7 linked regions of the Oryctolagus cuniculus genome follow. The protein of the gene in region 2 interacts with the protein of the main gene of each other region in a pairwise test. Links are inferred from orthologs where the notes say so. Each region holds a gene or a part of one and is shown on either strand. Other genes may lie near its edges.

Region 1 (3,760 bases), on a different chromosome or scaffold from region 2:
CCATATGGGATGCCAACACTGCAGGCGGTGGCTTTACCCACTACACCAGAGCACCGGCCCCTATTTTATTTATTTTGAAAGGCAGAGTAACAGAGAGAGAGGGGGACACAGAGAGATCTTCTGTCCATTCGTTCACTCCCCAAATGGCCACAACGCATGGGGCTGGGCCAGGCTGAAACCAGGAACCTGGAACTCTACAGGCCTCCCACATGGGTGGCAGGGGCCCAGGCACGTGAGGTCCTCTGCTGCCTTCTCAGATGCCTCTGGAATTTGCCACTCTCATCTCTTCCCTCCCTTCCCTCCACCGTCCCCCCCCCCCCCCCCAGCTGTAAGGTCTTGGCTGCAGCACCTGCTCAGGGTGCCCAGGGCCTTCTGGGTAATCATGGCTCAGGGTGCCCAGGGCCTTCTGGGTAACCATGGCCCACGGGGGAAAGTCAGGAGTTGGACAGTCCCAGTCCTGACGCGATTGTAACAGTGCCCGGTTTTCCTCTTCTGACCCCAAAACAGATCCCTAAGGAGGTGGCTGACATCTTCAACGCCCCCAGCGACGAGGAGGAGGAGGAGTTCCTGGGCTTTGCAGATGAGGTTCCCATGGAAACCCTCTCGCCAGAGGGGAGCCGTGATAGCTTTGACTCCCTGGCGTCCCCGGCGCAGGTAGGATGCTGCTTCCTCCCCAGGCCTGAGCCTGGGGGCCGAGACGCCTCGGTTTGTGCGTGGCTTGCGGTCACTGAGGCCGCTTAGCCGGTGGGCGTCCCATCGCCAAAACTTTGCGCCTCTTGGTTTCTTCCCGCCCATGGTATTATTGTTGTTGTTGTTGTTATTAATAGAGAACCCTCATGTGATCAGATCTTTGCTCTGCTCCCTGCTGTATTCAGAACCCCCCCACCATGGCTGGCAGGGAGTGGGCCCCGCCTTTGCCGTGGCCGCCCGCGGGGTGCAGCAGGTGCTCCTGCCTCTTTGCAGCTGCTGGGCCAGTGTCATTCTCGGATCGCTTTGATCTGTAGCAAGCACAAGTTACAGTTCTGCCGGGGCTCACTTCCTGGAGGTTTGTCTCGTGCCGCAGCCATCAGAATACCTCCCTTTCCGCGGTGTTTCTGTGCCTTGCCACTGCCCTGACCGCGGCCGCTGTGTGGAGGCCCACCCTGGCTGCTGCTGGCCGCAGCAGGAAGGGAAGCAGTTAGTGTGATGAGGGGAAGGGGCTGCCTGACTGCTTGTTGGTGACCCTGGCCTCGTCTCGTCTCTAAGTGCAGATGCTAGGATCCGCCTCCAGAGCCTGGCCCATCTCTAAGTGCAGATGCTAGGATCCGTCTCCAGAGCCTGGCCCATCTCCTAAGTGCAGATGCTAGGAGTCTGTCTCCAGACCCTGGCCCATCTCCTAAGTGCAGATGCTAGGATCCGTCTCCAGACCCTGGCCCATCTCCTAAGTGCAGATGCTAGGAGTCTGTCTCCAGACCCTGGCCCGTCTCTAAGTGCAGATGCTAGGATCCATCTCCAGAACCTGGCCCATCTCTAAGTGCAGATGCTAAGATCCATCTCCAGACCCTGGCCCTGGCCACGGCCCCAGGCCCCCTGCATCCCACTCTGCCGCTGCTCTTCCCGCATACCTCGGCTCTTGCTCCTGCCACAGTGCCTCTCTGCGGCCCGCTGGGGGAGCCTGCTCCTGTGTGCAGAGGGACCTGCCTGCCCCGTCCTCTGTCTGCCAGCTGGCCAGCTGGCTTTCCTGGTTCCCCGTCTTTAGCTCCATCTTTCACTGCCCTTGATCCATCCTTCCTCCTCGTCCTCCTCCTCCTGTCTTGGCGATTCCCATCCGGGGGGGAGGAAACTTCTGCCGTGTTTCGCACACTGATGCCTTCCCCCACTTCGCTCTGCATCTGCTGGAGCCCTCGTCCTTCCCACCAGGGTCCCGTGTAGGCCTGGGCTCTGGCCACGCCCCCTCTCCTGCCAATCGTCTTCAGAGCAGGTCAGGCAGCAGGGGGGGTGGAGCCTGGGGCATGGACCCTGGGGGCCTTCGGAGCCAGCAGAGAACCTGGCCTGCCCTGGGCCTTAAGAGACAGAGCAGCTGTTGGGAGACTGCTGACTTGGTCACACGTGCCCTTTATGGTGCCCAGTGTGACCGCAGCACCCTCAGCCGGCCTATGGCAGTGTGCATGGGGAGCAGGGAGCCCGGCCAGGGTTGGAGGCCAGCGTGCAGCGAGGCTGGCCGCAGGAGAGCTTCGCCTCTGTGGGGAAAGGAAGATAAATGACAGCGCAGGCTTGGGTTTAGGACAACTGCTGAGTTTTTCTCCCGTGTCGATCAGGCCAGCAAAGATGTTGATTCCTCCCGGGCTGCCGGCTGCCTGCTGAGGCCAGCACTGAGCACAGCGGGAGCTAGGAGGACTGGGAGATCGGGGCTCCCTGCTGTTCCGGGGCCCCTGGCATTCAGTGGTCCGCTCTGGGTGGTTAATGCAGTTTCCATACAGACCCCATTGCCCTGCAGGTACCTGGCGACTTTAGCCAGGGCCGGGCCCTGAGTCCACACCCTCACGCTGTGTTCTCACAGCTCAGAGCCGCTGCAGGGACTTGGAGATGGTGCCCACCCTGGGCTCCCCGACCACACTTTGAATCTCACGTTACAGAAACTTCCCTTTTGTGGGTGCATCCCCCCCCCCAAAAAAAAAACAGCTGCACCACTGCTATCAATAAAGGAACAGAGTAATCTAGAATGGAGCAAACTCTTGCAGTTACCCACAGTCATTCATAAGAGACATTTTCAAGCTTAAAAAACGGTACATCTGGCCGGCGCCGTGGCTCACTAGGCTAATCTTCTGCCTTGCGGCGCCGGCACACCAGGTTCTAGTCCTGGTCGGGGCACCGGATTCTGTCCCGGTTGCCCCTCTTCCAGGCCAGCTCTCTGCTGTGGCCAGGGAGTGCAGTGGAGGATGGCCCAGGTGCTTGGGCCCTGCACCCCATGGGAGACCAGGAAAAGCACCTGGCTCCTGCCATCGGATCAGCGCTGTGTGCCAGCCGCAGCGACCATTGGAGGGAGAACCAACGGCAAAGGAAGACCTTTCTCTCTGTCTCTCTCTCTCTCATTGTCCACTCTGCCTGTCAAAAAAAAAAAAAAAAAAGGTACATCCAGGGCAGGAGGCACGAGGACCCCGGCTGGAGCCCTGGGGAGTGGTTGTGGGCTTGCAGGGGGCCACTCTGGGGGGGCTTCCCCAAAGTCTGCAGGTTTTCCTCTGCTTTCTTTGGAGCACTCTTAGGAGAGCTGGGTTTCCTCCTTTGTGGTATTGCAGAAGAAAGGAGTTACAGGGAGGGAGGCGAGAGACAGAGATCCATCTTCCACCCACTGGTTCACACCCAGTATGGGGTGCCGGCACTGCAGGCGGCGGCTTAACCTGTTACACCACGACGCGGGCCGCACAAAGATTTTTCCTTTCTTTTTAAAGGTTTATTCACTTATTTGTAAGGTACCATTACAGAAAGAGGGAGAGAGAGAGAATCTTTGATCTGCTGGTTTACTCTTCAAATGGCTGCAATGGCTGGGGCTGGGCCAGACTGAAGCCAGGAGCTTCTTCTGGGTCTCCCACATGGCTGGCAGGGGTACAAGCACTTGGGCCATCGTCTGCTGCTTTCCCAGGTGCATCAGCAGGGAGCTGGATTGGAAGTGGAGCAGCTGGGACTCCCAACTGGCGTCCTGGTGCCCATAATCCACTAAACCACAACACTGGCCCAGAAAGACTTTTTTTTAAAATTGGCATATGTTTCTCAGAGCCACATG
Region 2 (4,433 bases):
TCCAGCTCGGGGAACCTCTTCGAGTACTTATCCCGGATGAACTTGTGGATGATGTCTGCGGGGGGCGGCAGCGCAGGCGGCTGAGGAGGGCGGAGGCAGAGTCCCCTGGTTCTCCCCAGGCCCCGCCTCCCCCTTCCTCTGCACTGCCCTCAGATGCCGGCGTCTCGGCAGAGCCTGTCCCGGCTGCCGGCTGAGCGAGGACGGCAGCTCATGCCCCTCCTTGCCTCCTGGCCTTGCTGGTGGGACGTGAAGGCGCTGGCCGGAAGTGGGGCGGTCGCCTTGTCCCACGAGCCAGCGGCAGATCCACATGACAGCAAGAGCCCGGGCACCACGGCGTGGCTCCCTGAGAGGAAAAGCTCCTCTCCCTACGTGAGCCACGCCGCTTCAGCGCTGTCCCCCCGCCCCCCGCCGTGCCCGCTCTCATGCACGGGGCCCGGGCAGGGTGTGGGAGAGGCCAGCAGGGCAGGGTGGCCCGGGGTCCCAGGCAGGGCCAGCTCGGCCTGGCACTCACTCAGCTCGTTCTCGATCTCCACGGTCAGGTTGTTGGCGTCCACGATGACACGGTACTCAGGGGCCGCCTCCACCGGTCCCATCACTGAGGAGGAGGAGCCGGGGTGCGGGGCTCAGTCCGAAGGCACCTTCCCCAGGGGCCCACGGCTGGGGAGGCGGGGACCGGGGGAGGGGCTGACGAGGGTACGGCCTGAAGCTGAGCCCAGACGCTGGCTGGCGGGGGCTGAGGGGGGTTGGTGAGGGGTCTCCCCACACCCCGGCGGTGCTGGTGCTGCCTGTCAGACACCAGGCTGTGAGACGCGGTGCATCCACATCCCCCCCTGCTGGGCATGGCCGGGCCTGACCTGGGGAAGTGTCCCTCCCTATGGCTTGGGAGAAGTGCCCGGCTGGCCCCCAAGCCCCGGGCTCCTTCTCTGCTCAGCGCAGGTACTCAGGCTCCGGAGTCTGGTTCAGGACCCCCGAGGCAGGACCGAACAGTCCCACCCTGAGCCCCTCCGACAACTGCCTGGGACCCGCCTGTCTCCTGCACCAGACCCTGAGCATCTCAAGAGCAGGGACCCGGGAAACACTAGGTGAAGGGGGAACCAGTTTCTCGGAGCCTCTGCTCTCGGCCCACTCCCCTCCCCCATGCCCAGCAACCTCCCCCCGCCCCGCTTCCTGGTGCCAGTGACCGCCACCAAGAGCCCTGGGTGACAAAGAGCAAGGGGCAGAAACAGGACAGCCCTCCCAGGAGCTGACCTGCACATTCAACATCTGACCCGGTGGGCCCCGATGTCAGAAGCGGGAAAAGGCTTTAGATAATAATTTAACAGTAAGTTATTTACTTTTATTGCTAACTCGTATCTACCAAAGCGTACAGTAGTAATGCTTCCTTCTTAGATAAAGGTAAAGGACAGGCTGGCGTTGTGGCAGTGGGTTAAAGCGCCACCTCCAACACCAGCATCCCATACGAACACAGGTTCGAGTCCCGGCTGCTCCACTTCTGACCCAGCTCCTTGCTAATGCGCCCGGGAAATCAGTGGAAGCTGGCCCCTGCCATGCCTGTGGGAGACCCAAACGGAGTCCCTGGCTCCCAGCCCTGGCCGCTGTAGTCATCTCCGGAGTGAGGCACCATGTAGAACATCTCTCTCTCTCTCTCTCTAATTCTGCTTTTCTAGTAATAATAATAATAAAAAAAAAACCCACAAGGATAAAAAATAGAAAGCATAGAAACAGAAAGTCAAGATTTCTAAGAAACTTAAAGGGACAAGTCCCCTGATGTCAGGTCCTACGGCTGGCGTCTCACGGCCGTGGCAAAGGCCGTGTGCGCGCCCCACGCGAGCTTGGACGCCCTGAGGTGTGCCCAGCGGCAAGCAGCAGGCGCTCAGCACAGGGCGAGGAGGTCAGAAACACCAGCCCTGGGATGCAGGGGGGCTTTCAGGAAGAAAGGGGGGCTAGGCCGGGCTGAAGGCAGAGCCAGCTGTCGGCGGGTCGGCGGGACGCAGGGGCCAGGGCCGCGCCGGGCGGGGAGGGGTGGGGGGCAGCACCTTCCGCCGCCTTCGCCTGCTTGCTGATGTACTCCTCGATCTTCATCATGATCTCCGCGAACTGCGGGAAGCCGGGGACAGTCAGAACCAGAGCCCCAACCCCCGCTCCCGGGGGCGCCCGCATCTCCCTCCTCTCACCATCTTGCTGTCCCATAGCTTGGCGATGCTCTTGACCGAGTCCCCCGAGAGATCCAGCTGCGCCTCCTCCTGCACATCCTCGATGGCCGGCTCCTCCTCCTCCTCCCCGTAGCTTCCTCCCTCTTCCTCTTCTGCCGCCTCTTCGAGGTCGGCCAGGAGCTCGTCCGCCAGAGACATCCCGCGACCTGCGGGGGAGGCGTTTCCCCTCGGACTGTGTCCCCCCTGGGCCCCCGCTCCTGGGAGGGGCCACGCCCCCAGCGCCCAGCCCAGCCCCGGCCCAGCCCCTTCTTCACCGAGCCCACCGCCGCAGGCTGCCCAGGACAGGCACTCCCGCCTGCTTCGCTGGCCGGGCTAGCCCCAGCCGGGACCCATGAAAGCCCCCCACCCAACTCCGGGCGAGCCTGACAACCCTGTCCTCGCCTCCAGGTCTCCGCGAGCCCTACCTTCCCACCGCCGGGACCCCCGCAGCCCACCCCCACGGGAGTAGGCCCGGACGCCTCACATGCAGGGGACCCCGTAAGGGACCACCTGGTTAAGCCTGCCTCCCCGCCGTCAACCCAAGCTCTAACGTCCGAGCTGTCCCCAGGGCCGGACCCCGGGCGGGGAGCGCCGTAGGACCTCCGCCTCTCCCCTCTCCCACTCCGCCCCCCGCCCCGTCCTGCGCACCCCACTCACCACGACCGTTTGCAGCAAGTGAGCAGCTTCCCCGAGCGGCCGGCGCGCACTGATGACGTCCCACGCCCGCGTCGCCGGCGCTGCGCTCTGATTGGCCCTCGGCCGCGCGTTCGGAACAACAACTTTATTAGCACCCGCGCGGAGGAGGAGACGGGGTGAGTCCCGGAGAGGAGAGCTGGAGCCTGCTGAGCGGAGGATCGCCGTGGCTGCACGACAGTGTCGACAGGAGAATACAGGCGGTGGCACGCAGACGAGAAACCCGGGACTCGGGAGGGTGGAGGTGGGGATGGCGGGGCGCGGGAGGTGAGGGCACGAGGCCGAAAACAGGAGCCCGCACCCCCCAGCCCCACTCCCAGAGGGCCCGGGTGGCAGCCCCGGCGCGCCGCGAAGCCTGGGCCCGAGGCTGGAGACCCGGCCGCGAGTCGGACGGCCCGGGGCGCCCGGAGCGGGACAGCGATGGAGCTGGAGCAGAGAGAGGGGTGAGCGGCGGGTCTGCACCGCGCGCGGGCGGCTGCGGGAGGCGGGGGCTGGGGCCCGGGCGCGCGGCGTCCCTGAGCGTCCGCGACCGCCCGCGACCCTGCAGGACCATGGCGGCCGTGGGCTTTGAGGAGTTCTCGGCGCCGCCGGGCTCGGAGTTGGCGCTGCCTCCGCTCTTCGGCGGCCACATTCTGGAGAGCGAGCTCGAGACGGAAGTGGAGTTCGTGTCCGGCGGCCTGGGCGGCTCGGGGCTCCGGGAGCGGGAGGAGGAAGAGGAGGCCGCCCGGGGCCGGCGGCGGCGCCAGCGGGAGCTGAACCGCAGGAAGTACCAGGCGCTGGGGCGGCGTTGCCGGGAGATAGAGCAGGTGGGTGGGTGCGTCCCCTGCGTGGGCGTGTCGACCTAGCTTCGCCCACGCACTCTGCCCCGGGAGCTCCCTGACACCCCCAGGTGGAAGCGCGGGCCCCCGCCTCCCCTACCCGAGCCCGGGCCTCGCCCCCCACCCCCAGCCCTGCTGCAGCTTCCCTGGCCCGGAGGAGGATGGAGCGGGAGCCAGGCTCGGCGCCGCGGGACAAGGTCTCTGGGTTCCTCCCCGTCTTGCCCGTCAGGGGGCGCCGCGGGAGCGGTCCTGTTCTGTGGCCTCTTAGCAGGGGCTCCGGGGGCCTCCCCCGGTTCCTGGCCCTCTCCTGCTCTGGGAAGCCGCGCCTGGATCTCGGCCTCTGGACTTTCCGGTGTTCACGAAGCACACAGCGCTGGAGTAGGCCTTACACAGGGGCCTCCTTTGAACTTGGTCTGCTCTGTAGGGGCCCGGTGCTGGGGTTGGGCCTCCAACACGCCTTTTCAAGGGGAGGGGGAAGGAACACAGTTCAGCCCTTCAAGTGGTGTTGGGGTTCGGGGAGAGGCGGGAGGTATCTGCTTAGCAAATGGGTGCTGGGCCCAGGGGGACTCTGTGAGCCTCTGCCCTTAGCCCACCCTCCCTAGGGATGAATCCTCATTGTCCCCGTTTGGAAATGCAAAAACGTGAGGCTGAGGCTAAGCAACCAAGCTCACACAGCTGATAAATGGCAGAGCCAGGATTTGAACCCAGGTCTTTCTGGCGCAGGCGCGGC
Region 3 (4,303 bases), on a different chromosome or scaffold from region 2:
AAGAAACTGTTTGAACCTAAAAATTGCTTATCCTTTTTATGTTTGTGTGTGTGTGTGTGTGTGTGTGTGTGATGGGGGAAGAGTACTCACCAGGAATTGTCTCCTTAAACAAATCTTACTTTCAAAACGCACAGGTGTATATTACATCTAGGGCATCAGAGGACTGCTGTAAAAACCGAGTATCTGTAATTCAACTGTAGAAAAATGCAAGGGGATGAAGTCAGCGCTGAGGTTCAGAAGTTCTTGGGTTGTTTAAGAAAGATGACATACTAAATAGTAAGAAATATTCCTATTCAAGCTGGGCCCTTAAAAAACTGGCAGAATCACGCCAGTCTCATTCTTCACTAAAAATCTAATTTACCAACCTCAAGGTCATGTTCATTTTCACGCACTTGGATGGCCAAAAAGACGACAAAAGGTTAAGTTACTGAGTGAGCTCCGACCAGAGGCTCCCAGATAAAAAAGTTTAAATAGTATTAAACAGAAAACGATCCAGTATTAAATATGAAGTGAGATTGTACATCTTTTCGTTTTCTTCGTTAAACATCACCGGTTTTCCGGAAATGGGGTCTGGCGAAGCACCAGCATGTGCAGAAGAAATAGTGGGCAGGAACCAGGGTTTTCACTGCTTGTTTTGCCACTTCCCAAATCAACCCAGCCTCGGCGGCACAGCGCTGACCGAGGCCTGGTCGCCTCACTCCCCGAGGCCGAAGAAGAACCCCACCTGGTAGGCTTCCTGGAAACCGGCCCCGTCGGCTGCGGCAGCGGCTGCGCCAACAGCAGCTCTGAGGAGTAATGGGCTCGCCGAACTCAGGTCCCAGACGATTCCGGCTCCCGGGGCCAACTAGCACAAAGACACCGCCACCAAGCAGCAGGTGTCCCAGAGGGAGCGGAGGCGCCTGCGCATGCGCGTTCCCGCCAGGTGCGACCGGCCCGGGCCGCGGGTACGGAAAGAAGTCTCGCGGCTGGTTACTAGGAGACGGGACGCTCGGGCCGGGAGCTGGGCGCTGCGTGGGCGTGCGCCTGCGCGGCGCGGATGGGCCAGAGAGACGCCTCTCCTCGGCGCCCTGTACGGCGGGCAGGTGGATGTACGCGACGCTACGTGCGTAGGTGCGCGCGCGCACGGCTGTAGTCCTGTCGAGAGGGAGGGTCGAGCCAGGTACGCGTGCGCACGGGGACCGGAGGCGCGTGGGACGGAAGCGGAGCCAAGGCGCCGCTGAGGTGGAAGACGAGCCCGCCCCAGGTACAGAGCGTGAGGGCGGGGCCGAGGGCGGCTCCGGCCGGCGCTAACCGCCCCCGCCCGCTTGCCGCCGGGTCCCCTCCCTCCTCCGACTCCGCCGGGGCGGGGCCAGGTCGACTGGGGGTGTGGGAAGGGCGGGGACAGGGGCGGAGGATGGAGGCGGGGAGGGCCCCGGCTCGCCGGCGGAGGCCGAAGCCCGGCAGTCGCCGGGATGAGCTCCGCGGAGGACGCGGGGCCCAGGAGCCCGAGGAGGGACCCGGAGCGCCAGGTAGAAGCACGGAGGATGCGCCGGGGTGGCGGGGTGGGCTCTCCTGGGCTTGAAGGCCCCGGCCGCGGGAGGGTGGGAGTGGTCGGCGTGGGGGCTGCGGGCGACCTGAGGAGGGTCCTCGCTGCCCGAGCCGCGGTGAGGGGCCGGAGCGGACGGAGCGGCGGGGTCCGTGTTGTCCGGCCTTGGGAGCCTAGTCCCTATGGTGACCGCCCCGCCTCCTGTCGCTCCCCGCTCCGTTGTTGGGGACGCGGTTTTGTTTGGGAACTCTGTAGCGGAGCTGAGGAATTTGGAAGGCGAGAGATGGGGAGGTTCAGCCTGGCTCTCAGTCTCTCTTCAGAGTCTCCATAGACTTAGGGAATCGGGGGCCGAGACCGTAGCAGGCATTTGCATGAAATCCTCGTATAATTTCAGGAGAAACTACAGCGAAGGCAGGGTAGCAGGGCTGTGTTCGGAAAAGATCCTTGAGCCTGGTTGATCAGGGACCTGACACTGAAATGCACAGGGATACACTTGTGTGGGGGTTTTTTTTGCCCGTCAGATAAAGTCAAGGATTGCGGCTTTAGGAAGTTTTGCATGTCGGACAGAGTTCCAGCGCTTGTATACCACGACATCCGATGCTTTAAACTTCCTCTGCTGATTGTCAGCCCTTTTTTTTTTTTTTTAATTTATTTGACAGGTAGTGTTATAGACAGAGAGAGAGGTCTTCCTTCCGTTGGCTCACTCCCCAAATGGCCGCTACGGCCGGCCAGCACTGCGCGGATCCGAAGCCAGGAGCCAGGTGCTTCCTCCTGGTCTCCCATGGGGTGCAGGACCCAAGCACCTGGGCCATCCTCCACTGCACTCCCTGGCCACAGCAGAGAGCTGGACTGGAAGAGGAGCAATCGGGACAGAATCCGGCGCTAGAATCCGGGACTAGAACCGGGGGTGCCGGCGCTGCAGGCGGAGGATTAGCCTAGTGAGCCGCGGCGCCGGCCAATTCTTAATTGTATTTTAAGTAATCTGTAACCCAATCCCTGAGTCCTAATCAGTGGGAAATTTACTTTATTAATTTATTATTAAATTTACATTAAACCCTGAGGCAATACTTAATGGTGGCTTTCAAAATATATCACAACTGTTAACTTTCTGAAAAAAGAAAAAAAAGTCACTGCTTGTTGTCTGGAGTATAATCAGGTATCCAGACTGGTTGGGCTCTCCTTTCTGTCTTTTTCAGTTGTTTGAAGCAGTTTGCTTTAGGATGCTTGGTTTTTAAAGTCTCCGTACGCAGAGGCAATCGGAGCAGGTGTCACTGTTCATCCTCTTCAGATCATCCATCCCTTTCTCTCCCCACAGGTAGCAACTATCTCAACTTCTAATAGGATTTTTCCTTACAGTTTGAAACTATATATGTGAACATGGGAGTTTAGTTTGCCTTTTTTTTTAAACTTTATATAAATAGAATTGTATTTAGGTATTCTTGCTGTTGCTTGTAGTTGGTTTGCTGGCTAGTGTTCTATGTTCTGTTGTAAGGGTGTATTACAGTTTAAATACTGCACTGTTGGTGGACATTAAGGTTTTTACAGTTTTTGGCAATGATGAATGACACTGCAATGAACTTTTCATACATGTATTTCAGGATAACCTTTCGAAGTGAGCTCATTAGCAAAGTAATTATTTTTGTTAAGCTATTAACATCAGTCTTTTATGTTAATAAATTCTTGTAGCCCAGAAGAGCTTCTTGAAAACAACTGTGTAATCCCTGATGGAGCAAGGACAAAAAGCCTTAGATCCATGTTGACGTCTCAGCTACATAACAGCAAGCGAGCCCCCTTGTCTCTGCCCTGCTAATACAGCCCGCCCTGCTGTGATCAGCCCTGCCCTGCCTGGACTGCTGGACACTCCACTATCTGAAGAGTCCAGCTATCAGGCTGAGCTCGCCCCGCTCCTCCCAAACTCTCTCCCTTCCCCTCCCTCGGTTCAGCAGCCCAGCCTCAGCCCAGACCCCTCCCAGTTCACACCGTAATCTCTCAGGACCTTTAGAACTAGCTCAAGCTCTCCCTGTATCTCAGACCCCAAGCCCTCTTTGCCACTTTGTACTATATAAACTGCTAGTCTGTAAGGGAAGGGGCTCTCTCTGCTGTGTGTTCACCTGGGAGTGAGCCCCTCCCTGGCTTTATTCTTCTGAATAAGCCTGGCCTGGCTGTGGCTTCATACTCTGTCTGTTTCCTGGTAATTCCTTTTTGTGTTTCCAAGAGGTCTTGATAAACATTATTTCTCCTGTGGCCATTTTTTATGCTTCTTTGAAAAGACAAGTTATTTCTTTACACTTATGTGTGGATTGTGGAAAAGAGAGGAGCTTGGGTTTGGATGGAATGACCAGGGAGGTTCTTCTTCTTAAGAAGGATTGAACAGTGGGGCTTTACTGTTTTGTCTGACGTGAATTCCCAAAACATTTATTCAATTATGTTTATTGTAAATAAAAGGAGTCAAAATTATATATAAAAATTCTGTGTGGTTTTCCACATCTTTCTGTTAGTAAGGCTATTTCTACTTCAGAGTGTGTATAAGTCTAAAAACTTCTGGAGATCATTAAAAAAAAAAGATTTATTATTTAAAAGAATGATTGAGTGAGAGAGAGACCTTCCATCCAGTGGTTCACTCCCCAGATGGCCCCAACGGCCAGGGCTGAGCCAGACCAAAGCCAAGAGCTTCATCCTGATCTCCCATGTGAATGCAGGGGTCCAAACACTTTGGCCATCTTCTGCTTTCCCAGACCGTTGGCAGGGAGCTGGATTATAAGTGGAGCAGCTGGGACA
Region 4 (4,533 bases), on a different chromosome or scaffold from region 2:
CAGCCCCTCCAGCGCCATCCTGATCCCTGGCACTCCGTCCTGGAGTGCTGGCTCCACGTGCTGCCCATGGTGGCGAGGAATGGCCACAGTGCAGGACTTGGAACCCGACTGTTGGGCTTGCCTCTCCCAGGCTTCTAAAGCTACCTAGTGCAGCGAGAAGAAAAAGTAGCCCTGGCCCCAGAAACAGCACCCGAGCCAGCTAGAAACCCAAGTCCCGCTCCCTCTCCTCCTCTTGAGCGTGGTAATTACACACGGATGCAAGCAATTTTAGAACTCCTGTAGTCCCTGCTCTTTTAAACAACACGGAGAAAACAGAGAGCTGTTTTCACAAGGGGAGGAGCCTCTCCTGGTCAAGGGGCCTCTGTAACTTCCACCAGCAGACAAGAGCCACTGTGACTTCTCTGTACCAGCTGCTCTGACCAGGAAATGAACCGCAGACACCAGAATGCAAGCAGGGAGACTCGCCTGGGAGAACTCTGCCCTCTGCTAGCCCACGACTGCAGCACAGGGCTACACCATTAGCAGAGGGACTTCACGAGAGGAAAGCAACTTTTCAAGATTCTCGTTCCCCCTCGTGAGTGTTAAAACAGTCTCGACACTCCACTCTCAGTGTCTGGCTTTCAAGCAATTAGAAGAGATTTTAGAGAAGTTCTGAGGACAGTTTTAAAAATCCTTAAAGAAACCAGAAATTTTAACTTGTTTTGCTTTTCCTTCGCAGTGACCATAGAAGAGCGAGCTGGGAGGAATGGGCTAAGCTGAGTGGTTCAGGGTTCTTTGCCTCTCTCAGCTGATACTAGATGCAACGTGGCTGACCCCGGCTCACTCATTACACCCCTTTAATGTAGACAGGCCACCCAGTGTGGACCTGCATGACGAAAGCGTAATCGCAGCACTGATTGTATCTGTCGCTTCAGCCGGATACGACCCTTTCTCTTCTGAACCACCAGGCTCATTCAGAGACCCATCAGCAATTAGTACCAAATTAAGGATGGAAAAATTAACTGCCTCCACCCACTCCCTCACAGGCATATGTCCACCCCCCTGCAGCCTGAGTTTCTCCTTCCTCTCCGCCTCCCTCCTCAGACAGCCCCAGCATGCATCTCTCCCGGCCCCCACTGGTGAACTCAGAAAGGTGGGACTCTGTGGGCAAGGGTGCTAACCCCGAGCCGTGGGTAACATCCATGCACTGCTCAGTTTTAATCTGCAGAGCGCACGCACTGTGAACCTTTAAATCCGCTGCATAAACAGCTCTGGAAGAGCCTGTAAAACATCTCCCCTGCTTCCTGACTGGCCTGGTCCATGGCCTTTGGAAAGCCTCTGGTGCTAGCAGGTGCTGCGTTTTGCTTTCTGGAGCTCCCTGCTGGGCTACAGGGCCAGATCTCTGTCCCAGGCCTGGCCCCGCCACCTAGGCTGGGACCACAAGATAAATGGCTGCTGTTTCGGTTGAAAATCCCCTGGTGGGAGTAAATATTGTTCCGGCGGTGGGGGGTGGGGGTAGGGAGAAGCTTGACAAATATTGCGTCATCCTGTCTCGCTCAAAGCAGAATTTTTGGGTTAAGTTGGTATTCAATTCAAAGCGGATCTATCTTGCAGGCAGAGTGTGGGAACAGACACGCAGCTGGGGGTGGTCGAACAAGGCTGCCGCCCCGAGCCCACACCCGCACCCGGCGGCCGCACGCTGACACCCCCCTGAGGACCACGGTGGGGAAGGGCCACTTGTCACTGTCGTGACAGGCAACAGCTGAGCACACATCTGGAGCCGGTCGCGGCTGTCTACACCCCGGACCTACGTGCAGACACGGACGGAAGTTCCTGCACTCCAGCAGTGCGTGTGGAACACTGGATGGAGCACCGCGTCCCTTACATAACATCCCGGGCAAGCGCAGCCCTGCGCGGTGGCGGGCACAGCGCACGCGGGCGCACGCACAGGGTTCGACTCGGCCTCGGCGCGGACTCCCTTCCCGCAGCCCGAGGCACCTCGGCGCCGCAGGAGTCGGCGGACCCCGACCCGCCTGGTCCCCCGCGCCGCGCGCTGCACCGCCTCGCAGACTCCGACTCCGGCGCCCAGACGTGCGGGCGGCGCCCCTCAGCCTCCCCGGGCGGGCGAGCGCTCCGGCAGGGACGACCCGCCGCCCCGTTCCCTTCCTCCCAGAGACCATCTGGGGACAATTTCCCCAAAGTCCCCCAAATGGCCCTGCCTGCAGTCGCCGGCGGCGCCCTGCGCTCCTCTCTGAGCGCAGCGGTCGCGTCAAGCCCCCGCTGTACCCCTGCCCCGGTCCTCCGGTCACCCACACGCCCGGCTTCTGCAACTTTTTCCGCCCCTGGGAGGAGGCGCCCGCGTTCTCTCCCCTGTAGGCGCTACCCGCAGCAAACCGCAGCGCAGGGACCCGCGGGAGTCGGGTGGGCCCCTGCCGAAAAGCGCGCGGCCTCCCCGGCGAGCAGGACCCGGACCCTGCACGGGCGTCCGCAGGCTCCCGAGCTGCGGCCCCTGCCCGGGCCCCGACGGCGGTGCGCGCAGGAGCGCGAATCGAGCCGCGGTGCCTGCGGGCGCCCCTCGGGAGCCCGTGCCGCAGCCCGGTGCCTCCAAGGTCCCCGCGGCCCAGCGGGCCCCTCGCGCCCTCTCCCCCGCGGCGCGCCCGGCCGCGGCCACTGTCACGGCCCCCGCAGGACTCACCGCAGGCGCTCGGCACGCTGCAGTCCTGGCGTCAGCGGCTGGCGAGCGCAGGCGGCGGCGCGCGGACCTCGGAAAGCCGGAGAGCCGCCGGGCGGCGCGGCGTCCGGGAGGCGGCGCGGGCTGCGGGCTGCGGCGGAGACGCTCGGCCCCCGCGCCCCGCCCCCGGCCCGGCCCCGGCCGGCGCGAGCTAAAACGCGGAGCGCGGATACCCCCGGCGCACGGATCCGGGCCGCCCGGCGCGCCCACGCGCAGCCCGGCTCGGCCGCGAGCTGCGAGGTCGGCGCGGGACCCGGGCGCGCGGGGCGAGAAAAGGGGAGACGGAGGGACGCGGGGCGGGGCGCGCGGGGCAGGCGCGGGCTCCTGGCAGGGGGCTGCCGGTCTGGGCGGGGCTCGTGCAAGTTCACGCCGCGCGGCGCGGGTGCTCAAGTGCTGCGCTGGTGCCGCCCCGCCCCGCCCCCAATTTTATGCTCCTCTCTCTGACCAGCAATCCCGGTGGATTGCAGGACAGGAGGCGTGCAGGGGGGAAGCGGGCAGCCCAGGTTTCCGATTTACTGGCCTCGGCCAGAGTGGGGTCTGCGCGCTGAGTCCGGGTCCTTCGGGTGCGTGGAGGGCAGTTCGTTCAACTTGGACTCCTCCGCGCGCTCCTGGCTCCGCGGGGACCCAGGGTCTGCGTTGGAGTCAGAGGGCTGCTGTTTCCGGGCCGGCAGCCACAGTGCGCCCCCAACCCGTCTCTTTCCCTTCTCGACGGCCCTGGTCGCCCCAAAGCGAACCGCGCGGGGAGCGTGTGCCCGAACCGCAGACCGGCGGCCCGCACCACCACCTCCAGGCCGTCGGCGCTCTCCGGCCCCTGGAACTCCACGTTTTCTGTCTGCCCAATTCCCGGGGCTGGGCCCGCAGGCACCTTTGCCTACGACGGACTTGAATTCGGCCAGTTCCCAAGTTCTGCCCTGACACCGGCGTGCCCCGAATCCTCAGCACCCGCGGCCCTCCCCGGTGGGAGCCGCGGCGTCGCTCCCAGGCCACCCCACCTGGGCAAGTGCCCTCGCCGAGCCTGGCCTTCGTGGCTCGGTGCACCCTGTAGGGCGCAGGAGCTCCTTCCAGGAAGACGAGGATGTGTAGGTGTCGGGGGCGCGCAGAGGGAGGTGTCGATGACGCAATTCGTATCCCGTTAAGAAAAACCTTAGCTGCTGGAATTTTTCAGAGCACCGAGCCTCTTCCATTTTCCCTGGGACTGAAGCTAGGCTAGAACAGTCAGCAAAAATGGGGCCGGTGGAAGAGGGGATGTAAGCAACCAGCGTGGAGACGGGGGAGGGGCGGGGGCGGGGGTAGGGGGAGGAGAGGGGCAAGCCAGGGAAGCCCCCTCCCCTGCCCTGCGGGCGCCCCCGCAGATCCCCCCAGGAAGGGGGCTGTGGCTTGGAAAGTCTCCCCCTACCCGCGCCCCGTAACTGATGCCAGTCCTGGAAGAGAGCATGGCCGCCCTGCTCCTCTCATTTTATTGGGGTTGGTCTTTTCAGCTGTGTCTGTGCAGCCGGCTGAGGGATACAGCCCTACTTATTAAGCTGTAAACTTTTCGCTTCTGTCTAACCTCCACTACTGCCCAGGGAAACGGACAGAATGATTTATCCCGTTGGCAGAAGCAGTGAAAATGCGCACTTTGAAGGGCAAAGGGCCCTCTCTTCCTATGCGCAGCCTTTGGATGGCCTCTGTTTCCAGTCGAGACCTTCAGGCCACAGGAGTTGCCCAGCAGAACGAATCCGAATCATGGAGTGAAACAGAAACAATGGAGGATGGCGCTGTTTAACCACCCGCCCATGCTGGTCAGTGGGCCAGTGGGTGACTGCAGCAGGCAGAATGTGGAG
Region 5 (3,760 bases), on a different chromosome or scaffold from region 2:
AGTTGGCCTCCCTTTCCAATAACATCGGTTCAGTTACATCTGTAAGTCGGGTGTTGCATGTATGATCCCTGAAGCCCCCGTGGAGCCAGCAAGTGCTTTATGTCCAGGGACTCAGTAATCACTTGAACAGAGCTTTACTAATTTAGAGTCCTAAGGCATCCAGACCTGCATTGTCCAATAAGACAGTCACTGGCCACATGTACCTCACATACAGTCTACATGACTATTTTATGTTAAATTCATTACAATTAAATAAAACTTAAAATTTCCCTGTTGCCACTCTGCCTGTCAAAAAAAAAAAAAAAAAACTTAAAATACTAAAAAAAAAAAAAAATTCCCTGTTGCACTTGCCATGTTTCATGTAGTCAATGGCTACATGTGATGTACATAGGAGACATTCCCATCCACTGCAGGAAGTTCTGGGCCATGCTGATGCTAGACCAACAGTGATGGTATCTTTTTGGAAAGTCTGATATGGTGCAAAGACGAGCAGAGGAAATACCGTTAACTAGGTTGACAGAAGTACAGCAGCGTACTGGGTACACCACAAAGCAGCAAACCTAGACGGTCAGCCCATTTCTTGCCTATCCTCTCACTGCAAACTCGAAACCTTACTTGCTCTGTTTATTCTTTTCTACCATCTACTAATGGAAGTAAAAGGTCCACTTCCACAATTCCAGGAAGATGGTCGGGATTAAATTTGTTTTCAGGTTGGGAAAGAAAAATCAAGTCTGTGGAACCTGTAGCTGCCCAAGAAGCAAACAGGCATTGTGGTGACAGTGAACTTGCAAGACTTACTGAATATGACTCTGTATTTCTCCAGCTGGTTCGCCTGGGCGAACACAGTGGCTTCTGAGATCAGCAGCTTCTCTTGGAGATCTTGGTAGCGTTGTTTGCATTGTGCCAGCTGGGAGCGCAGGTGCTTGGTGGACCCTGGGAGGCTAAATTCTGACTGAGGCACAGGGTCCCACGCCTGGGACTGGTTATCCAGCTGTGAAAGGGGCCAACACAGGGATCAGGGCAGCGCAAGCTCATCCCACACCCAGGAGCAGACACTTCAGCCTCTGACCCCTGTGGACTCAATGCATGTGTCTGTCACAGCACTTCTCACGCCATCCGGCAGTTTCTTATTTTCCAGACAGAACTCCTGGAGAACTCGGATTTGCTTTATTCATCTCTGTATCTACAGCACCGAGCACAGCACCACTCAAATCTGGACAGGAGACCTCAGTAAACAAATGCCATCTCCCTGCTTTCCTTCTGCAGGGGCCATCTCAGATCCCTCTGTATTCTTCACTTTACTAAGTCCTCAGCAAAGCTGCTTCCCTTAAAGGGACCCCAACAACCCTTCTGAGACCCAGGAACTGTGTGAGCTGTGGTGAGCTGTGATGAGCTGTGATAAAAATGGCGGTGAGAAGAGTTGTCACTGCACAGTGACAATCTGCGCTGCCTCAAACCCAGTGCATCCCTACACCACAGCAGCTGCCACAACCTATGGCCTCTTTCCCCACCATCTTGAGGTCCTCAAAGGCATTGGTCAGGCTTTTTTGCCTGCTAATGCCTACTGTGTTACCTGGAAAATTAAGCACTCAGGAAACATTCATGAGATACTGCTGTAAAAGCATTCTAGGGCAGACTGTGTGCAGAATATTATCATCACCACTGTTTTTGGCGCAAAGGTGTTCTTCCCTCTGTATCTCCTGACACAAAAGGCAGAATTGTTTAAGGTAAAGACTGGTATCTCCAGCCCTTCTCCAAGTGTGTATTTTTTTTATCTCATCCATGCCCACACATACTTGCTGTGCATCCACAGGGCGGGCAGCTCCAAGGTCAAGGCTCTGGGGTCTGGGGCAGGGCTTCATGCTCACATCCTCCTCTTGGCCCTGGTGCTTCTCCAGAGAACAATGCAGTTCCGGGTTGCTTCCGTCAGCCTCCTTATCCTGATGCCCAAGGCGTTCCGGAGTGGGTTTACTCTTCCCTTCCTTGCTGCTCAGCACCAGCTGTTCTTTGAGGAGGTTGATGATGTTGTGGGCATTCTTCAGTTTTCCCTGGAGCTTTCTGAACTCAGCCTGAAGGCTGCTGTCATTCAGACCCCCTTTGGTGACTCCAGTCTCCACCATCACCTCGCCCTTCTCCTTGTCGTCCTCTATCTCCCATCCATCAGACATTGCTTCTCCCATCTGCTCTTTCAGTTCTGCATTCTCAAGGCAAAGGCTCAGCATGGCGTTCCTGGTGGAAACAGACACAATCAGGGGCTGGGGCTGGGCTTCACCACAGCTGCTAATAGTCCCTTTTACCCGCATCTAATTCCATGAATTCACTCAGAGACACCCCAGAGCATAAAGTAACCTCATAGATTTCCAACAGCTCCCCTATTTCACAGATGAGAAAACCAAGGCTCAGGAAGGCCGAGAGACTTGCCCATACGTCCACAGTGCCTCATTAAACTCTTGGTCGCGAGACACCCTGAGCCACACAGCCTCCTGTGTTCCAATTGTCAGTGGCCTCTGAACAAAACAAAATGGGGACTTACACTCTAAAGAAAAGAGCAGAAAGGCCCCTGCCTGCAATAATTGTATTGTAGTGGATTATATAATTGCATTAATTATAATCACCAACAGTTTTAAACCAATGGATGATAAATAGGGACCTAGGAACACCGAAGGAATAAATAATGCTAATCAGAATTATAAGCAAATGTACCTATATAATTATTTGCTTGTGGAGGCCGGCATTGTGGGGCTTCAAGGTAAGCCACCACCTGCGACACCAGCATCCCATGTTAGCACCAGTTCAAGTCCCAGCTGCTCCACTTCTGATCCAGATTCCTGCTAATGTGCCAAGGAAGGCAGCAGATGATGCCCCAAGTACTTGATCCACTGCCCCTCCCACATGTGGGAGGTGTGGATAGAGTTCCTGGCTCCTGGCTTTGGGATGGCTCAGCCCTAGCTATCAGAGCCATTGGAGGAGTGAACCAGCGGATGGCAGATCTCACTCTCTCTGTCTTCCCTCTCTCTTTCTGCAACTCCACCTTTCAAATAAATAAATAAATCTTTTTAAAAAAATAATTATTGGGCTGGTGTGTGGCATAGCAGATAAAGCTGCCACCTGCAATGCCAGCACCCCATGCAGGCACCAGTTTGTGTCCTGGCTGCTCCACTTCCAATCCAGCTTCCTGCTAATGCTATGAGAAAAGTAGCAGAGGATTACCGTTAACCTAACATTACTGATTTTTTTCTCTAAAGAATGTATGGAAGCATTCATGCCCAGAGCCTGGGATGTGGACTAAGCAGTCCATGGCAACATGACTGCCCTGGTTGCAGCAAAGTGACTGCCTTGGCCACGGTGCCTCATGCCTAGGAAGCTCCCCTCTCTTGGCAGAACATCCTACCTGATGTGGGACACAGAGGAGAATCCTGCTTCCTCAATTTGAGCCTTTAGCTCCTTCAGTTCCCCCTCAGCTTTTCTCTTCTCCTCTAAGTGCTGGTGAACCTCAGCCCTCAGTTGCAGCATTTCCTCCTGAAGACACCTGTTACTGTCCCCGCCTACTGGGGAGGGGGAGGAAAGCGACATGTCTGGGGTGTCCACAGTTGCTAGACTTTTCTCCAAAGCCACTTTGATGAGCTGAAAAAAAATCAGAGGTTAAAGAAGTTAGGTCATTAAAGAGGATCCAAGAACAGGACATTGCAGGGGTGGTCTGTAATAGGGATAAAGGAAGCAGACCTAAAAAGAACTCCCACCAAGGACTTCTTCAGTCACA
Region 6 (3,760 bases), on a different chromosome or scaffold from region 2:
GCGGCTCCTCCGCGTGCAGAGGAGCAGCAAGAATCTAACTGATTGCTGAGGGAGAGGAACAAACCAAAATATTATAGCATTATATTAGTATTCATTAATACATCTACTAAATAATCTATAAGCACATAGAAATAGCAGTTTATATGCAAAACTGTCAGAAATTATTCCAGAAAATATTTTGTCTAGAATGAAAATTAATCACTGAAATTTAAAAACATAATATTTTCATAGCCCATGGCTATCAAAGTACATTAATCACAAAGTCCAAATCCCTTCATGAGATAGGTAGGCAAGGTGAATGGAAAAAATACAGAATGTAAAGTAATAAGGAAATGCATATGGTAGAGAACAAGACTCTTCTAAAAGTATTAAAATTCACTTAAATGAAAAACAGTAGTAACCCAAACCAAAACACATTTTGGGGTTTAATTTATCCTGGAGCTGCTAGCTTTTCTCTCCTGAGCAACAATACTTTTATATTAACTGAACAGTCATTTCTACATCTATAATGTAATATCAAAGAAATACTGAACAAAGTATAAAATCTCATCACTTTCCTTCATACTCACCTTGTGCTTTTTCACTTAGCTAACTAGGCACAGTATATCATTATTATGGAAATAGTGCTAGGAAAGATCCCAACTTCTAGTCAGTTAATGACATGTCAAATTTAATCCACACCAGAAAGAAACAGAGAAAGAAAGGAAGGGAAGGAGGTAGGGAGGAAGAGAAAGTTCTCCCAATTCTGTTTCTAAATCTCAGGCTGCTAGCACTCACTTGCATTTTTCAGTAGTGCAGTAAGCTGTCGCATCATCTGGATAAGGACTGATGATCTGAAAATTCCTTGAACTCTGCCCTAGCAGTTTCGTGTCCTCGTATGGGACTTCATTTATGAATTCATTGGATTTCTGATGCATGCTTCCCTTGGAATTCATAGTCAGTTGCTCATCTGACTGTGCACTTTTATTTCTCCCTGCAGTTTCTTGCTCAGGATAAATGTGGGCTATATCTGTATTTAAACAAACATAACATGATATATGAGACACCATAGCTGCTTATTAAATACAAATGAATAGTAATGAATAGTTTTTTCTGAATAGTCCTAAAACTTTAAATATACACTTACCAATCTTACTCCTACTATAATTGGATAAGCATGTACAGAGTGGTTGTTGCCATCAATATTCCTATTTCCAAAGTCAATAGACACTTATGATTGTAACTGACAATGTTGCACATTGGAATAATGTAAGGAGTCAAAAATATCTTAAACCCATACCACACCCTATTTTAATAAAATCAGAATCTCTGGGATTAGGACCCAATCTTTATATTTTAAGCTCACTATAGATGATTTCAGTATACATTTAAGATTGAAAACCACTGGTTGAGAGATGTACTGTTTTCTAGATACAGTAAGTTAAGGGTCATAGGAAAATGATAATGTACATGGAATGGTGGTTATGACTGCGTGGGTTAGAACTTCAGCTCTACCAAATGCATAGCTTTGGGCTGGTTACTTAACCTTTCCATGCTTCAGTTTCTTGTTCATAAAAGGGAACTATAACGTCATCTATTTCACTGAGTTGTTGTGAGGACTCAACTAATACATGCGAAGTACTTGGTCTAGGACCTGACACATTAATAAACATTAGCTGCTATTTTTCTAAGCATCACAACATGAAAATGTATAGAATATAATAATTATTTCTAACCCTCATTTTATCAGGTATGTACCATGCACGAGTATACTGCAAAAAATTCATGAAAAATGGAATTAAAAGTATGAGCTCATTTTCATGCAAAAGTTTTTCCACAATACACAGAAAATACAAATTCTGAAAAAATCATGCATGGATATAAAAAAAATTGTGCCAAGGAAAAAAGCTCCTCATACTTTTATTTACACATCATTGGTGAAGTACTCTCAAATTAGAGAATAATATCTGGATATATCACACAACTTATTTTTAAGTTACCACTAGTAAATATAATCTGTTTCAAAGGAGTAGTGCACATTTCAAAGCATAGTATGGTTTCTGGGAGAAAAATCATACATGCACACATAACTTTTTTACTAGTACATTAGATCAACAGCACAAATGGTGATTGCAATTATCATTTCATTATTTCTAGCAGAAATAATCTTGAAGTTTTTTTTAAAGAATTATTTTATTTTAATTTTTTTATTTGAAAGAGTTAGAGAGAGGTAGAGCCAGAGAGAGACAGAGAGAGAGAGAGAGAGAGGTCCTCCATTCTGCTAGTTCACTCCCCAAACGACCGCAATGGCCAGAGCTGAGATAATCCGAAGCCAGGAGCCAGAAGCCTCCTCTGGGTCTCCTATGTGGGTGCAGGGGCCCAGGGAGTTGGGCCATCCTCCACTGCTTTTCCAGGCCATAGCAGTGAGCTGGATAGGAAGCGGAACAGCTGGGGCTCACATGGAATGCCAGCACTTCAGGCTGGGGCTTTAGTCCACTGGACCACAGGGACGGCCCTTGAACTTTTCAAAAAGCAAATTCTAAAATTTTAAACTCTTAATTTTAAAGTATTTTTAAAGAACCTGTACTGTGTGATTAGGCTCTGTCTTTGGGTATCTCTAATTTTATTCATCAGTAAAAGCTTTTTTTAAAATAATTATTTGTTATTTATAAGGCAGAGTGACAAGAGTGAAACAAGAGAGAGAGACAGAGAAACAGAAGATCCTCCTTTTGCTAACTCATTCCCCAAATACCTGTAATAGCCAAAACTAGGCATTGCTGAAACCAGGAGCCAAGATCTCCATCCAAGTCTCTGACAGGGGTAGCAGGGACCCAAATACATGCACCATCATGCACTGCCTTCCAAATGCATGAGCAGAGTGCCGAATGAAAAGCTAGAGTAGCATGGCCTCACATGAAGCACTCTGATACTAGATACAGGCATCCAAGCAACACATTCACCCATTGTGCCACAACACCAGCCATCAGTAGAAAAATCTTTTAGGGCTTTATTCTGAACTGTTCATCAGACATTTAAAGACTTTTATAAATCACATTCTGCATATTCTCTACTGAGAATATAATTTCACCTTATATTAAAAAAGGCTGATTCATAAAATTTTCCTGACTTTTTTTAAAAAAACTATTTTGACAAGTATAATTTTAGCAAATTAGAGTTAAAATCTTCTTGGGCCAGTACTGTGGCTCACTTGGTTAATCCTCCACCAGTGGCACCAGCATCCCATATGGGCGCCGGGTTCTAATCCAGGTTGCTCCTCTTCCTGTCCAGCTCTCTGCTGTGGCCCAGGAGGGCAGTGGAGGATGGCCTAAGTGCTTGGGTCTCTGCATCCACGTGGGAGACCAGGAAGAGGAACCTGGCTCTTGGCTTATGATTGGCACAGCGCCGGCCATGGCAGCCATTTGGGGAGTAAACCAACAGAATGAAGACCTTTCTCTTTGTCTATAACTCTACCTTTCAAATAAAAATAAAAATAAAAATAAAATAAAACAAAATAAAATCTTCTGAAGGTTCTCAATGCAGTCCTTCTCAGTAATACTACATTATCCTCTACCAATATTTAATTATTTCGTATCAAAAGTTTAACTCTTCTATCAAATTTATTCAATATTTTAATGATAACTCATGGAAAACCTACAGTGTGATTTATCCTGTGATAGGTACTAGGGAAACAAAGATAAGCAAGCAACAGATATTCCCCTTAAGGACTCAACAGTACAGTGATTACTGCAAACTGATTCAATGACTTGAATATAATGCAGTA
Region 7 (4,372 bases), on a different chromosome or scaffold from region 2:
GGTCTCTCCCATCCGAGGAGACGGTGACATCGTTCTGTCCTCCATGCCTTCGGCAGCGCCCCTCACCGCTGAGGCACACACTCGCCCCTCTGCCGCCGCACCTCCGCCCAGGCACGGAGGTCTCGTGCTGCTCACGGCCAAAGGAACTGCCCATACTTAACTGCCTCAGTGACCTGATCTCTCATGTGCCAGATGCCTAGATGAAGAAGGAACACAACACATCCCGAAGCCTCGGCTGTTTAGCACCCTCTCCACGGGGGCCCGCTTTTCTGGACAGTATTTATTACTAGACTGGCAAGCCTGACTCCTTTAGGTTTACAGGAAGTGTGCATATTTTTATAAAACAAGTGTCCTCCCCCCCCCATTTTGCTGTGTTACTGTTTGCCTCTAACGATTTGCAGCTGTTTCTGTTTCACCTTTTACTCATTTGTCTCCAAGTTGAAGGCCTTGTAGGAGGGGACAGCCTTGACAGTCTGTAATTATTGTACAAATATTTTAATAGCATATAAAGAAGTATATTCCTTTTATTTTGAAACAGATGATCAGACACTGCCTTTTGTGTGTTTGCTGCCTGTGGCAACCTTTTTTAAAAAAGACTGTTACATATGAAAATGGTGTACATATATATAAATATATAAATATTACCTCTTTGGCTGTACAGTTGTGATAGAGCAGATGGAAGATTTTATTTTTTGTGTGCTTTTTATATAAAAATTAATACACTAAAGAGAATCTTGCTGATGTGATTGTAATGTACCTATGTAACTTATTTACTTTTGAATGTTCTTCTGTATCTTTAAACCTTTCATTAAATAAGGTTTTAAAAATTCAGAGTTGGATGCTGTGTTCTTTTGGGGGATTTTCATCCTCTGAGATTGACCGAAGCGGCCCTTGCTCTGGCTTGAAGAGTACCCGAGGCAGGGATTACAGAATACTGGTGCGTTGCCAGCTGTAGGTAGGTAGGTGGCCGGCCTTTTGACTAAGTGTTAGATAAGAGGAAGTGGCCGGCGCCGCGGCTCACTAGGCTAATCCTCCGCCTAGCGGCGCCGGCACACCGGGTTCTAGTCCCGGTTGGGGCGCCGGATTCTGTCCCGGTTGCCCCTCTTCCAGGCCAGCTCTCTGCTGTGGCCAGGGAGTGCAGTGGAGGATGGCCCAGGTGCTTGGGCCCTGCACCCCATGGGAGACCAGGAAAAGCACCTGGCTCCTGGCTCCTGCCATCGGATCAGCGCGGTGCGCCGGCCGCAGCGCACCGGCCATTGGAGGGTGAACCAACGGCAAAGGAAGACCTTTCTCTCTGTCTCTCTCTCTCACTGTCCACTCTGCCTGTCAAAAAAAAAAAAAAATTAGAAAAAAAAAAAAGATAAGAGGAAGTGTCCAGTCTGTGTGTCACACAAGTGGGATACTTGGGAGCCTTCGTTTCCTCTGGATGAGATGCCGTCCACGCACCTGGCTTGATGCGCCAGTTGCATGAGCAAGTCAGCCACCACGGGTGATACCCACTAGTATCTGAAATCCGCTCCGGATTAGAAGACAGAAGCCCTCGATGCTTATTGGTATTTTTTTTTTCATTGTAAAAGTCTGGAACATCTGATGGCTGCGGTACCATGGCAACCGCTCCCCCCACCCCGCGCCGCTGCGCACGGAGTCTTCGGGAGCGCGTCGTCCGGGACACCGTTGCCATGGTCACGCGCGCGCGCCTCGCCGGCGACCTGGATCCGGTGCGGCGGCCGCGGCTCGCGGGCCGGCCCCGCCCTGCACTGCGGCGGGAACGCGCCGGCTGCCGAGCTGCGCCACAGCCGCCGCAGCCCGTCGCGCCACGCGAGCCCGGCCGGCCCCACCAGCCTTCGCCTCCCGCCTCGCTTCTGCATCCTTCCTGCGTCTTTGCTCCCCTCAGCCCTCGGTTTTCAGCGGTCCTCGCTGTCCGGAGGGGTCCCCGCGCCCGAGAAGAAGCCGCTGCTCGCCGGCTGGCCCGGCTGCCGCCGCGGTGACCTCGGACAGCCTCTCCCGCCGGGCCCGGCACGCCGAGCGCTCCTTCGGGCTGCCGCTCCTCGCCCCGCTGAGGGCCGGGCTCGGACCGCCAGCGCCGGGGCGACTCCGGGAGCGGCGGCCACGCCCCGCGGCCACACCCCGGCGCTCCCGGGCCCCGCGGCTCCCGCAGGCTGCACTCTGGGGCCGCAGACCCCGACCCGGGACGCGAGATGGCGACAGCCGCGTGACTGACTGAGCCCCTGCGAGGCCGCGCCGGGGAGCCGCAGACGGACAGCGGGGCTTGGGTGTCGCTTGTTACCAGCGACCGCGGGGACCTGCCGCCCGCGCGCCTGCTTGCGGGGAGTGTCTGGTGTTGGTTGGAGTTCGGGGAGCCGCAGTCTGATCCGTATCTGTCGAATCGGTACCTTTGATAGTTGGGAACATGGCGATGACGCTGTTGGAAGATTGGTGCAGGGGCATGGACGTGAACTCCCAGAGAGCGCTGCTGGTTTGGGGGATCCTAGTGAACTGTGATGAGGCTGAAATCGAAGAGACCCTCCAGGCTGCGATGCCCCAGGTGCCGTATCGAGTGCTTGGGAGAATGTTCTGGAGGGAAGAGAACGCGAAAGCAGCCTTATTAGAGCTCACTGGCGCTGTGGATTACGCCGCGATCCCCAGGGAGATGCCTGGCAAAGGAGGGGTGTGGAAAGTGCTTTTTAAGCCCCCCACGTCTGACGCTGAATTTTTAGAAAGGCTGCACCTCTTCCTAGCTCGGGAGGGGTGGACCGTGCAAGATGTTGCCCGCGTCCTTGGGTTTCAGAACCCGGCCCCGGCCCCGGGCCCCGAAATGCCAGCCGAGATGCTCAGCTATATTTTGGATAATGTTATTCAGCCTCTCGTGGAGTCCATATGGTACAAGAAGCTGACGCTGTTCTCGGGGAGGGACATCCCGGGGCCTGGGGAGGAGAGCTTTGACTGCTGGCTGGAGCACGCTAATGAAGTCATAGAGGAGTGGCAGGTGTCCGACACAGAAAAGAGGCGGCGGCTGATGGAGAGCCTCCGGGGCCCCGCCGCCGACGTCATCCGCATCCTCAAGACCAGCAACCCCGCGATCACCACCGGCGAGTGCCTGAAGGCGCTGGAGCAGGTGTTCGGGAGCGTGGAGAGCTCTAGGGATGCGCAGGTCAGGTTTCTGAACACGTACCAGAACCCGGGAGAGAAGTTGTCGGCTTACGTCATTCGTCTGGAGCCGCTGCTGCAGAAGGTGGTGGAGAAGGGGGCCATTGATAAAGAGAACGTGAACCAGGCCCGCCTGGAGCAGGTCATCGCCGGGGCCAACCACAGCGGGACCCTCCGAAGGCAGCTCTGGCTGACCGGCGCTGCGGAAGGGCCGGCCCCGAACCTCTTCCAGCTGCTGGTGCAGATCCGTGAGGAGGAGGCCAAGGAGGAGGAGGAGGAGGCTGAGGCCGCGCTCCTGCAGTTGGGCCTGGAGGGGCACTTCTGAGCCCCAGGAAAGAGGGCTGCCGTGCAGACCCGGCCCGCAGCTGCTGTCCTGGTCCCGAGTAGTAAAGGCCTAGCTGCCTGCTGTTTTCGTTGTGTTTTTCTTGGAGGGAGGGGGTTCTGGCCTGCCCGTTCCTGTAACTCCGCCGACACTGCACAGAGCATGGGGAGCTGCTACAATGCCGATGGGCTTGCTGGCTGCGGCGCCCGCTGTCGACATGCCGGCACCCTCGGCTGTGACAAGTGTGAACCCGTGACTCTTCCCATGGAGATAAATGTGAAGTCGCACGTGCAGATGTTTAGCCCAGGGCCTGGCTCGCAGGAACCGTGAACCATCACATTGTTATCAGCGTCGAGGCTAGTGTGTGTTGACTGTAAATCATTCCATGTTTATATTAATGGAAAGAAACGTGCATTGTTTAGGTAATACTGCTCAGCCTCACAGTGCAAATCTCTTAGTGCTCATCTTTAAAGAGCCGGATCTGTGGAACAGAGTGTTCTGAGACTCCAGCTGGGGCGCTGGAAAAGGACTGCAGTTCCGGAGCTGTGCTGATCAGAGGTCGCGCAGAGAAACCACCTGGGGAGATGGCTAGGACCCGGTGACAGTGACCCACCCATCCCCCCACTCCCCTTCCAGTCCTTGTCAAAATAGTTCTTGTTCACCCAGATTTTAAATGTTCTACATTTGAACTTATCAAATAGATGTATAAGAATAAAAATATTTTAAAAACTATCGCTGTCTAGTTTTTCCAACATATTTAACATTTTTCAGTGTAATTAAGCTGTTTTCTTTTTTCTTAGGAAAACTTTCCCCCATGTCATAAAAAAGAACCTTTTACTTAAAAAAAAAATAGTGAGATGGAGCGCTCCCACAATGTGTGTGTATTAATGTATCCAATATTTA

The links.
Region 1: the proteins of PRPF31 (region 2) and CDCA7L interact in binary tests that used the Homo sapiens proteins (3 or more experiments, as listed by UniProt). The two-hybrid records come from large-scale screens. The link is inferred for Oryctolagus cuniculus from reciprocal best matches to the Homo sapiens genes PRPF31 and CDCA7L.
Region 3: the proteins of PRPF31 (region 2) and TSGA10 interact in binary tests that used the Homo sapiens proteins (3 or more experiments, as listed by UniProt). The two-hybrid records come from large-scale screens. The link is inferred for Oryctolagus cuniculus from reciprocal best matches to the Homo sapiens genes PRPF31 and TSGA10.
Region 4: the proteins of PRPF31 (region 2) and PRICKLE1 interact in binary tests that used the Homo sapiens proteins (3 or more experiments, as listed by UniProt). The two-hybrid records come from large-scale screens. The link is inferred for Oryctolagus cuniculus from reciprocal best matches to the Homo sapiens genes PRPF31 and PRICKLE1.
Region 5: the proteins of PRPF31 (region 2) and PDE4DIP interact in binary tests that used the Homo sapiens proteins (3 or more experiments, as listed by UniProt). The two-hybrid records come from large-scale screens. The link is inferred for Oryctolagus cuniculus from reciprocal best matches to the Homo sapiens genes PRPF31 and PDE4DIP.
Region 6: the proteins of PRPF31 (region 2) and MIPOL1 interact in binary tests that used the Homo sapiens proteins (3 or more experiments, as listed by UniProt). The two-hybrid records come from large-scale screens. The link is inferred for Oryctolagus cuniculus from reciprocal best matches to the Homo sapiens genes PRPF31 and MIPOL1.
Region 7: the proteins of PRPF31 (region 2) and PNMA1 interact in binary tests that used the Homo sapiens proteins (3 or more experiments, as listed by UniProt). The two-hybrid records come from large-scale screens. The link is inferred for Oryctolagus cuniculus from reciprocal best matches to the Homo sapiens genes PRPF31 and PNMA1.

Annotation. Positions count from the first base shown.
Region 1 is NC_091447.1:13,939,409-13,943,168, reverse strand, and holds part of CDCA7L (cell division cycle-associated 7-like protein), read left to right. Parts: intron 1-507; coding exon 508-654; intron 655-3,760. UniProt on the Homo sapiens protein: Plays a role in transcriptional regulation as a repressor that inhibits monoamine oxidase A (MAOA) activity and gene expression by binding to the promoter.
Region 2 is NC_091449.1:4,564,716-4,569,148, forward strand, and holds the start of PRPF31 (U4/U6 small nuclear ribonucleoprotein Prp31), read right to left. Parts: upstream 2,981-4,433; 5' UTR 2,850-2,980; exon of another isoform or gene 2,618-2,849; intron 2,360-2,617; 5' UTR 2,352-2,359; coding exon 2,175-2,351; intron 2,098-2,174; coding exon 2,037-2,097; intron 596-2,036; coding exon 512-595; intron 56-511; coding exon 1-55. UniProt on the Homo sapiens protein: Involved in pre-mRNA splicing as component of the spliceosome. Required for the assembly of the U4/U5/U6 tri-snRNP complex, one of the building blocks of the spliceosome.
Region 3 is NC_091433.1:109,297,354-109,301,656, forward strand, and holds the start of TSGA10 (testis-specific gene 10 protein), read left to right. Parts: upstream 1-1,345; 5' UTR 1,346-1,451; coding exon 1,452-1,508; intron 1,509-2,736; exon of another isoform or gene 2,737-2,840; intron 2,841-4,303. UniProt on the Homo sapiens protein: Plays a role in spermatogenesis. When overexpressed, prevents nuclear localization of HIF1A.
Region 4 is NC_091440.1:133,849,915-133,854,447, forward strand, and holds the start of PRICKLE1 (prickle-like protein 1), read right to left. Parts: upstream 2,822-4,533; 5' UTR 2,675-2,821; intron 1-2,674. UniProt on the Homo sapiens protein: Involved in the planar cell polarity pathway that controls convergent extension during gastrulation and neural tube closure.
Region 5 is NC_091438.1:50,658,000-50,661,759, reverse strand, and holds part of PDE4DIP (myomegalin), read right to left. Parts: intron 3,625-3,760; coding exon 3,392-3,624; intron 2,230-3,391; coding exon 1,797-2,229; intron 992-1,796; coding exon 799-991; intron 1-798. UniProt on the Homo sapiens protein: Functions as an anchor sequestering components of the cAMP-dependent pathway to Golgi and/or centrosomes.
Region 6 is NC_091443.1:38,299,983-38,303,742, forward strand, and holds part of MIPOL1 (mirror-image polydactyly gene 1 protein), read right to left. Parts: intron 1,010-3,760; coding exon 778-1,009; intron 721-777; exon of another isoform or gene 1-720.
Region 7 is NC_091451.1:19,888,572-19,892,943, reverse strand, and holds PNMA1 (paraneoplastic antigen Ma1), read left to right. Parts: upstream 1-1,359; 5' UTR 1,360-2,410; coding exon 2,411-3,472; 3' UTR 3,473-4,201; downstream 4,202-4,372.